Bombyx mori: one gene and its partner. The protein of the gene in region 1 binds, or shares a complex with, the protein of each later gene. Links are inferred from orthologs where the notes say so. Each region holds a gene or a part of one and is shown in the gene's direction. Other genes may lie near its edges. The genes, in order: EP300-interacting inhibitor of differentiation 3 and E3 SUMO-protein ligase NSE2.

Region 1 (4,290 bases):
TATTCTATCGATTTATAAAATTAAACAGTCTGTTTTAGTCCAGAATAATAAGACAAAGTAACCCTTCCGTCGCTTTTAAGTCAAGCGCATACCTTCAAATATTGAAATCTTCTTTCTTCTTCCATTACATTAAATTGGAGTTTACAAAAAAACGATAATTTTGGATTAAACATTTCAATGATCTAAGGGCGATATGTATATACCTAATTGTAGGAATCGAATAATTGAAACTGTTTCTAAAGGATTTCTGTGTAAGGAGTTTGGAATGAACATCGATTAAAAAAAAGTTGAAAAAGTGTACCCAAGTGTAAACAGCAAACTACCGAACCGAAACCAATATAGCGCTTTAGGTAGAAAATGGAAATTATATGTATATAGCAATTTTAAGCAGAGTAAAGTGAGCTGGGCTAAAAATTTTATATTTTTCGTGACTTGTGTAGTTAGATAAAAATTGTGCAGTATTTAAAATTTCACTTCAATATTTTTATCACTATTTACGTAGGAAGTGTTTCTTTCCTTAATAATATTAATAATAATCCTACTATAATAATTATTCATAATTTATGACGCTGTTTTTAATCGATCCACTTGCTACTACGGCGCTATCTCAATTAGCTTCCGTTCAGCGGACACTTTTTAATACTGGGATGGTGTACTTTACATCTACCCTCCACAAAATGTTATAGCTGAAGATTTTTACAAACTCAATCTTGGCAACAAATAATCACCCAAGAAACCAATTGTTCTCCCGCCAAAAAGTAGATTAATCTTGTCAACTGCGAAAACGAACCATGGAGGCATGGACTCTTAAATTAATATATTAATTATGCCATGGACTGTATTTGAATTTGAAAGAACTTTTTGGCGGGAACGCGAGGAGTGAAGTTGTGTGTTGTTTTATTTTCTCTATTTAGTGTTTCTTCGGGTTTAAATGTGTAATAGCGGTGGTTTATTAACTGTTTAATATCTGTGAAAGTGCACAAATGTGGGAAAATGAAACAAACCCATTGGACGTAGCTTCTCAGAATCCTCCAAAAAGTCCACTGAAAAATCCTCGGTAAATGACCACCATTTTACCCATTATTCATTAATTACACCATCCCATGCCATCTCATCTCATTTCATTTCATTCCAGTTCATTAATGTCTCAAATTAATCATTTTCATTTATTTCATTTAATTTCACTCTATATTAGCATTTTTATAAAATTAAGAATATAAAATAAAATATGACATGACCTAAAGGTCCTAGTTACCAGGTCATAAAATCCCAACAAATGAATTTGAAAGTTGAATGTTGAAGTTATTCTATTGTTTTAAACAATCACGAATTTAAAAAGTATTAATTGTACATTACATACTACCTTCGCTCAAAGTAATATTATTCTCATTCTGTGCATACGACGTTATTGAATCAGTAACCTAAGCTTATTAACTGCAATTCATATCTACCCCTAAATAATTATAAATAAAGTAGGTACATTTTCTTTAATAAAGTTCGTAATAATGAGTACCGCGGAATTAAACTCATCTCAGCGGAAAAGCAAGTACATTAGTATGTACGAAACTGTAACTGCTCTAGGTAAGATACGAATATTTATTTTACAAATAACCTCGGCAAGTGTACAAGTAAGTGTTACATTTAGTGCCGAACTTCTATAGAATTGTGGGCTTTAAAAACTTTTTGGGACCTGGGTATTAAATAAAACTGTAAATAACACACACTAAATATTCATAATCGCTTCCTCAAAATAAGTAATGAAGCAGGGAGATAATTATCTTACAGTAATGTACAGACTGGACAATCCAACCTGTACATTTATATATTTGAAAATCGAAAGCTAAGGGAATACGCCTGCCCTCAGAATTTTGTGATAATTTATTAATTACCTAATAAATATTTTTAATTTAATATTTCTGTCCTTTGGAATGTTTTATAGCCTTCTTCAGCATACCACGCAAGATTTAACTTCAAATCATCTTTTTTCTGCTACTAATTCTAATCCACAGGGAACCAGACTGATGTCATACCAACATGGCTGATCTGAAACTCTTTTAAAGATTACAATATTTCATAATTAGCATTGCAGTTTTTTTTCAGATATATAATAATATACCTTAACTTAAAATCTTTTATTTATGTTCAAACAGAAGATCAAAATGCGAGCAATCAAGAATGTCTAGATGTTACACACAAAGTTGTGAAAGAGGCAAAGCAACTGGTCCAGGAAGGAGGTGTTGACCATCGCAGCAAACATCCTGGTATGATATGTTCAATATTTAATTTTCTAAGATGTATCGAGTGGTACACATGCCTATTTTTGTGTCTTCACATTCCCGATCCTGTGGACAGATTCCCGATTCTGCAGACATGGAAAGCAGTCGACGTCGCCCCAAACACGTCATTTCGGATCGTCCCGATCCACTAATGGTGCTTCTAGGTACCTCAAGCACCGGTCATCACTCTCGTCGAACTCGTCGCTTGTGACGAAGGGCTCGACGAGTAAATTAACCCTCAGACACAGCCCACGGAGTTTCTTGCCGGATCTTCTCAGTGGGTTGCGTTTCTCATTCGGTGGTAGATTCTGCGAAGCACGATACTTGCTAGGGTTCGTGTTAGCAACGTCATCAGGTTTGAGCCCCGTGAGCTCACCTACTAGTTAAAGCTACGCTGATATAGCCTCTCAAGGCTCTCAGCTTAGGTAGGAAAAAAAAATGTGTGTCTGCCGGGATCTATAGACTGGGACAAAGTGCAGTGCTCTTAAGATGTCTCTGCATCCTATAAGCAAACTCCTATATGTCAGTATATCTACTCATGTTAATGAAGCCATGACATTAGATCTTTTTAGCACATTTCATTGATAACTCACTAAGTTTTAAAGGAGATAAAATCAGTTAAATTTGATAAGTTATAAACTGTATATTAATACACTATACTGAGACTAATTATGTCTGACATAAATCAAGCGGGACTTGTGTCCTGTGAGATTACAATCAAAATTAACTTACCTAGTACAACTCGAGTAGTGAAAGTAAGAAAGATCAACAAAATTCTGCAAGCTGCTCAGTTTCCAGAATAGTTCTGAGTCTATTATTCTGCAGGTGAGGGATTGCTGGACGCTCGGGTCCTCCACGCATCTTCGAACCTAGCGAAGATGTGCCTCGAGACAGTTGATGTGAACATGCATTTATATGACAAGAACCAATTAGCACAGCACATTGTGAGTTAAATATTAAGTTAAATTTATATGACAGTATTTTCTAGTAATTCAAGATATTGTACATTCTACATTTTTTATTTATTTATTGCTTAGATGGGTGTACGAGCTCACAGCCCACCTGGCGTAAAGTGGTTACTGGAGCTCGTAGACATCTATAACGTAAATACGCCACCCACCTTGAGATATAAGTTCTAAGGTCTCAAGTATAGTTACAAAGGCTCAGGCAACCTTCAAACCGAAACGGATTACTGCTTCACGGCAGAAATGGGCAGGGTGGCGGTACCTACCCACGCGGACTTTTAAGAGGTCCTACCACCAGTAATTACGCAAATTATAATTTTGCGGGTTTGATTTTTATTACACGATGTTATTTCTTCACCGTCACATTTCTATAGCATTAATAGTGTTAAATTAAGTAGAAGGGAACTGTTTCTGAAGCCAAAAAGGGAATAACAGCCTAAGCATTTTACTCAACTTTAATTAATGTATATTCTTTTAAACGGAAATCAAAACAAATACACCTGCTTTGCGTTGCCTTGTTACAAAATTATTAAAAGAATATTAGCTAACCTTCAGTCTCTTGGTTTGTAATATATGGCTCCCTAAACAAAGATTTATCAGCATTATCTAAGCCTTAACATTTGCAAGCCAAGCGGCTTCAATATATTATAACACTCCAGACAAATCTTTGGTTAGCTGTCTAATGCTGTTTCTAATAGCCAATGATGACTAGGATGTATTTGATATTTAATCTATTGAAGTAAATGATGAAACTACATAATTAAATCCATAAAAAATACTACCTCTATCCCCCCTTTCTCCTTGTCTTCATATTGTAATAATACAATTCAAGTTTAGAACCGTCTGTATCGGTAGCCAAGATATTTGACAGATGCCTGATTCTTGCTTACGACACTTTCAAGATAAGCTTGCATATATTATACAACTTCCGAACAACAATACAGTGAACCCGCTGTAAATCAAATCAAATCAAAAATTTTTAATTCAACATAAATGAAAGTACATACTTGTTGAACGTCAAAAGAACTACCGCCAATTCACAAAAACTA
Region 2 (4,415 bases), on another chromosome or scaffold:
TTTAACAATAAACTTTAAAAGAGACGATGTTTTTTTTTTTTATAAGCCCTCAATGTACTGCGTTCACCGTGTATCAATACAATCGCGTTTTAAAAAAAACTTCCAATCTTACCTTTTATACGGCACTTAACATATAATAGTTGAGTAGGAAATAAATACCTTTATGGAGACTTATTTACAACGATCATATTTGAGAAATCAGTAAAATGTTTTAAAGTGATGCGTATATTTATGTATCTTATTATCCAAGCAAATATACAATTTGGTTAAACTTTCTTTTATGGTCCGTCGATTTTTGGGTCGGGGTGGGAGGGGGGTAAGGGTTTACCCCTGCACCATTCCCACCCCGCGGAACCCCATGGTTATGAAGATATTCACGGTTAATGTTTTGAGGTTAGAATAGCACTATTTAGTCAAAATAGGGTTAAAATTTAGATGAGGGTCCATTAATTTTTGAGTCGGGAGGGAGGGAAGTAAGGCCTAACCCCTGCACCATCCCCACTCCGCGGAACTCCATGGTTATGAAGATATCCACGGTTAATGTTTTGAGGTTAAAAATAGCACTATTTAGTCAACATAGAGTTAAAATTTCAATTATGGTCCATTATTTTTGATTCGAGGAAGGAGGGGTGTAGAGCTTACTACTGCGCCGTCACCAAGCCGCAGATCCCCATGGTTAATTTTTTTGATAAAAATTGCATTATTTAGTCAAACTCGAAGGGAGCTTAAGTTTGAATCCGTCTTATCTCGGGCGCTGCGGGAAGAGCAATCCTTCCGCCCTTGCGTGCCGAAGCACGGTCACTCGTGCTCTGCTCCGCACTGTTTCCGTGCTCCGTCACAGCAGGCGAGGACTGCTCTCCCTCCGCGCCTCCGGTATTTTTAAAAACACTCTAGGGGTAGGGCAGACAAGACCAAGTGGAAAGTCGGGTGCTCTGATTCGGTTTTCGATATTTTTCGAATATTTATGCAATTTTATTACCAAAACACGAGCAATTTTACTATTTTTTATTTAATAGTAATAAATAAAAAATTGTAAAAAAAAATATTTAATAAAAATAATAAAAAAATTATTTAATTATAATATGTATTTAAAAATATATTTTATTACAGACAGATAAAAAGACGCTATAAAAAAATGCGTCATTTCACGTTCCGTTCCACAGTGTAAACAAAATTTTGTTACTTTTTGTGTAAAAACGTCAATATAATTGCTTCTTACAGCAACAATTGCTGTGCACACTAATTATAAACAAATTTACTATGTGAATATATTAAAATAATAAAATAAAAATAAGATAATAATATATTTCGGTAAAAACATGACATCAAATTTTATAAAATACACGTTTACCGTGAACGGAACGTAAAACGTCAACTATGACTTGACGATTTTTCTAATTTATATGGAAACTTTAAAAATTGTTAACTCGTAAACCGTACTTCTACCGTCTTCGCAACTTAAAATTTTGCAAAAAGTTTTTTATTTAGGAGCACTATATACAAAAAAATTGTGAACTTCGAAATCGACGGACCACAAAGGAAAGCTTAGCCTAAATTAATTACAATCTGAGGTAGGCAAAGAATCTGTACTACCTGTTGGTGGGATATTGCCTCCGGACCCGGCAGACTCCGAACATGTTCAGTGTATATAATCTCTGCTCCGAACTACTGGGGTATCTCGATACACTAGCGGCACCGCCTCGGCGGCCTTATTGGCAACCGTACTCAGGTGATTAGTGTTTCAGAACCTTTATTTCGCCTCGAAGACTCCGTTGGACGGGAGTCCTTGGGGTAAGGTGCGTCTGGTTGCAGTGTTAACGCGGTAACCTCATGACCTGGCCCTGGTTCTGACCTCGAAGGGGATAAGACGCTTGGAAGAAAGTGTTGGGGAGTCGCTTAGTGGGTAGGGCCCTAAATACCATCATTGGGCCCGAGCCCACTCACACAAACAAGCCTCTTTCAATTTCCGAACGATAATATGGCTAACAAAAAAAATCATGAATTTGAAATTAGAATACAAATAGTGTATGTGCTATGCTTCCTTTGCCTAGGCAATCCCTAATAAAGAAAAAAGCGTATTCTTTCATAAAATTTTATTGTTATGACATTTGAAAATTTGAAATTATGGCTGATATAGACATTCGAGATCTGAGAAAGCAGTGTATTCAAAGCTTAATCTCGACTGCGGAAAATGTCGCTAAATATTTGCAAGAGGACAAGGAAGACAATTATGAAAAACTTAAGATGTACATGGAAAACTACTGCTTATTGGAAATAGAACAAGAAGTTGCTGAGCAGGTTTTAGAGGCAGCAAAGGTTTGTTGAAAAAGTACGATTTTATCGTTTTCAATTTAAGTAAATTCTATGTAACAACAAAGCTAATAATAAAAAAAAAAACTAGTTGTGTGTAATATATACATAATATTTCAAAATATTCAACACGTTTGCAACATTTTTTCTGAAACAGAACATAGTATAACATAGAACAGCATAGCGCAATTAATTCGTTTGTACATATAAATAACGATAATGTTTTTAGCGAATCATTATTACTTCATTAGCGGAAAAACATAGGGCAATCTTTTACATTTTTTATAAAATACTAAGAAATTAAGAATCTAAAAATTCTTCGTTTAAATTCTAGGCAGATACTAACATATCAAACATAAATACACTCCAAGAAAGATTCGAGGATGGCCTGAAAACTCTTTCACAGAACAGAATTAATCCTAACAGCCATAGATACATGCAAGAATTAAAGACTAGATATGAAAGTGGATTACAAAGTGTATCTTCATCAGGACGTGAGTATTGGATCTAAATATAGTTTAATATGATATTACTGGGTAACCAACTATTCAGTATTATGAGTAGTGAAACTCCATTCAACTTTCAAACAATACCAAAATATGAAAATAAACTACCAATCAGTATTGACATGAATTGAATTCTGTTTTTCTTAAATGGAAGTTCATCTTTATAATAGAATGAGTAGGTAATTAATTTCCATTTTTTATTTGTAACTAGGGAATTGTTACTACTATAAGATTATTTATAAATATATTGTAATTCAGGATAGGCTTAAAACAACTATTTCCTTAACACAAACAAATAATTGTTTTTTTATCTCGCCATTGTAGGCATATGGGCCATGGTTACCATCACTCATGATCGTAAGCAATACCAGGGGCACAGCCAAGATACTGCCAAGCTGCAACTGCTGAATACTCTATGCACACATCATTTGAGAGGGATATGACATAAGCACTCAGGAATGCTGAAGAATGCTGCGAAATCGGGGACTTGCTGCATTGACTGACTTTAATGTTAATATTATTTTTTATTTCTTTCTTTTGATAATCAGCTCTGCTAACTTTCTGAATATATTCAGGAAAAAATTGCACCTTGCCAATGTGTAAAATTAATATAAAACACTTTAGTTACAGAAAACCTGAATGAATCTGATATAGCTATTGTCCAAACAAATGAGCAGTTTGTAAGTATTATTCCAATATAATTGTATTATTTTAATAGGTATAATTTGATGATATTGATTTGTAAAGAAATAAATAACCTGTATATACACTCACCTATATAACAACCATAAAGCTTGTACAGTAATTACTCAAAGTTCATTCAGATGTGAAAAATATCTCAGAAAATGAGATTCTCGAACCTCTATAAAAGCTTCTTTTAGTCTATCTGAAACTTCAGTTTTATTTTTAATATGTAAAAGTTTCCACTAGATTTTAAAATTTTAAAATTTTCGATTTTCAGCTAGATCCAATTACCAAAAAACATATATCAGATCCAGTGAAGAATACAATGTGTGGCCATGTGTATGAAAGAGAGACTATTTTGAATCTCATAAGAAGGAAGCATAGAATCAGATGTCCAGGTAATTCTTCATTTGTTATAATTATCTCATCAGTCTAGTGATCGGTGATTCGAAATATTGTATTCTACAGTTCAGGTTCAGTCGTTGATTAGGTGATTGAAAATAAACTTACTTTTGCTTACAACCACCACTATTTAATTTTACAATTTTACTTTGCAGTTGCGGGATGTGCCAATCCAGAAAGCATTCAAGAAAACCATCTATTGGAAGATGAAGAATTGAGATTTAGATTATCATTGTCGCAACACTCGACCATGATACATTAAGTTCATTTAATAATATAATAAATGTGAATTGACAAAAAAGGGTATTTGTTTATTTTATTTGGTTGTTTATTATCAGGAAATTAAAATGAAATACATTTAAGATAAATTTATTTCACGAAAACATACAGAGGAATTGGGTTTGTGATTAATCATATTGCATTGTTCAATGTTCTGAGTGCAAGAATTGGGTGACATTAAAATGCGTTAAATTTTTTTTTATACAACAAGTACATACGTATTTCTGTTTGGAT

The links.
Region 2: EP300-interacting inhibitor of differentiation 3 (region 1) and E3 SUMO-protein ligase NSE2 share a complex: the UniProt entries of both Homo sapiens proteins name them as parts of the SMC5-SMC6 complex. The link is inferred for Bombyx mori from reciprocal best matches to the Homo sapiens genes EID3 and NSMCE2.

What each region holds. Positions count from the first base shown.
Region 1 is NC_085130.1:15,844,634-15,848,923, reverse strand, and holds the start of EP300-interacting inhibitor of differentiation 3, read left to right. Parts: upstream 1-1,278; 5' UTR 1,279-1,505; coding exon 1,506-1,581; intron 1,582-2,150; coding exon 2,151-2,261; intron 2,262-3,101; coding exon 3,102-3,220; intron 3,221-4,290. UniProt on the Homo sapiens protein: Tissue-specific component of the SMC5-SMC6 complex, a complex involved in repair of DNA double-strand breaks by homologous recombination.
Region 2 is NC_085128.1:13,903,014-13,907,428, reverse strand, and holds E3 SUMO-protein ligase NSE2, read left to right. Parts: upstream 1-1,391; 5' UTR 1,392-2,124; coding exon 2,125-2,316; intron 2,317-2,644; coding exon 2,645-2,804; intron 2,805-3,440; coding exon 3,441-3,496; intron 3,497-3,777; coding exon 3,778-3,898; intron 3,899-4,057; coding exon 4,058-4,164; 3' UTR 4,165-4,208; downstream 4,209-4,415. UniProt on the Homo sapiens protein: E3 SUMO-protein ligase component of the SMC5-SMC6 complex, a complex involved in DNA double-strand break repair by homologous recombination. Is not be required for the stability of the complex.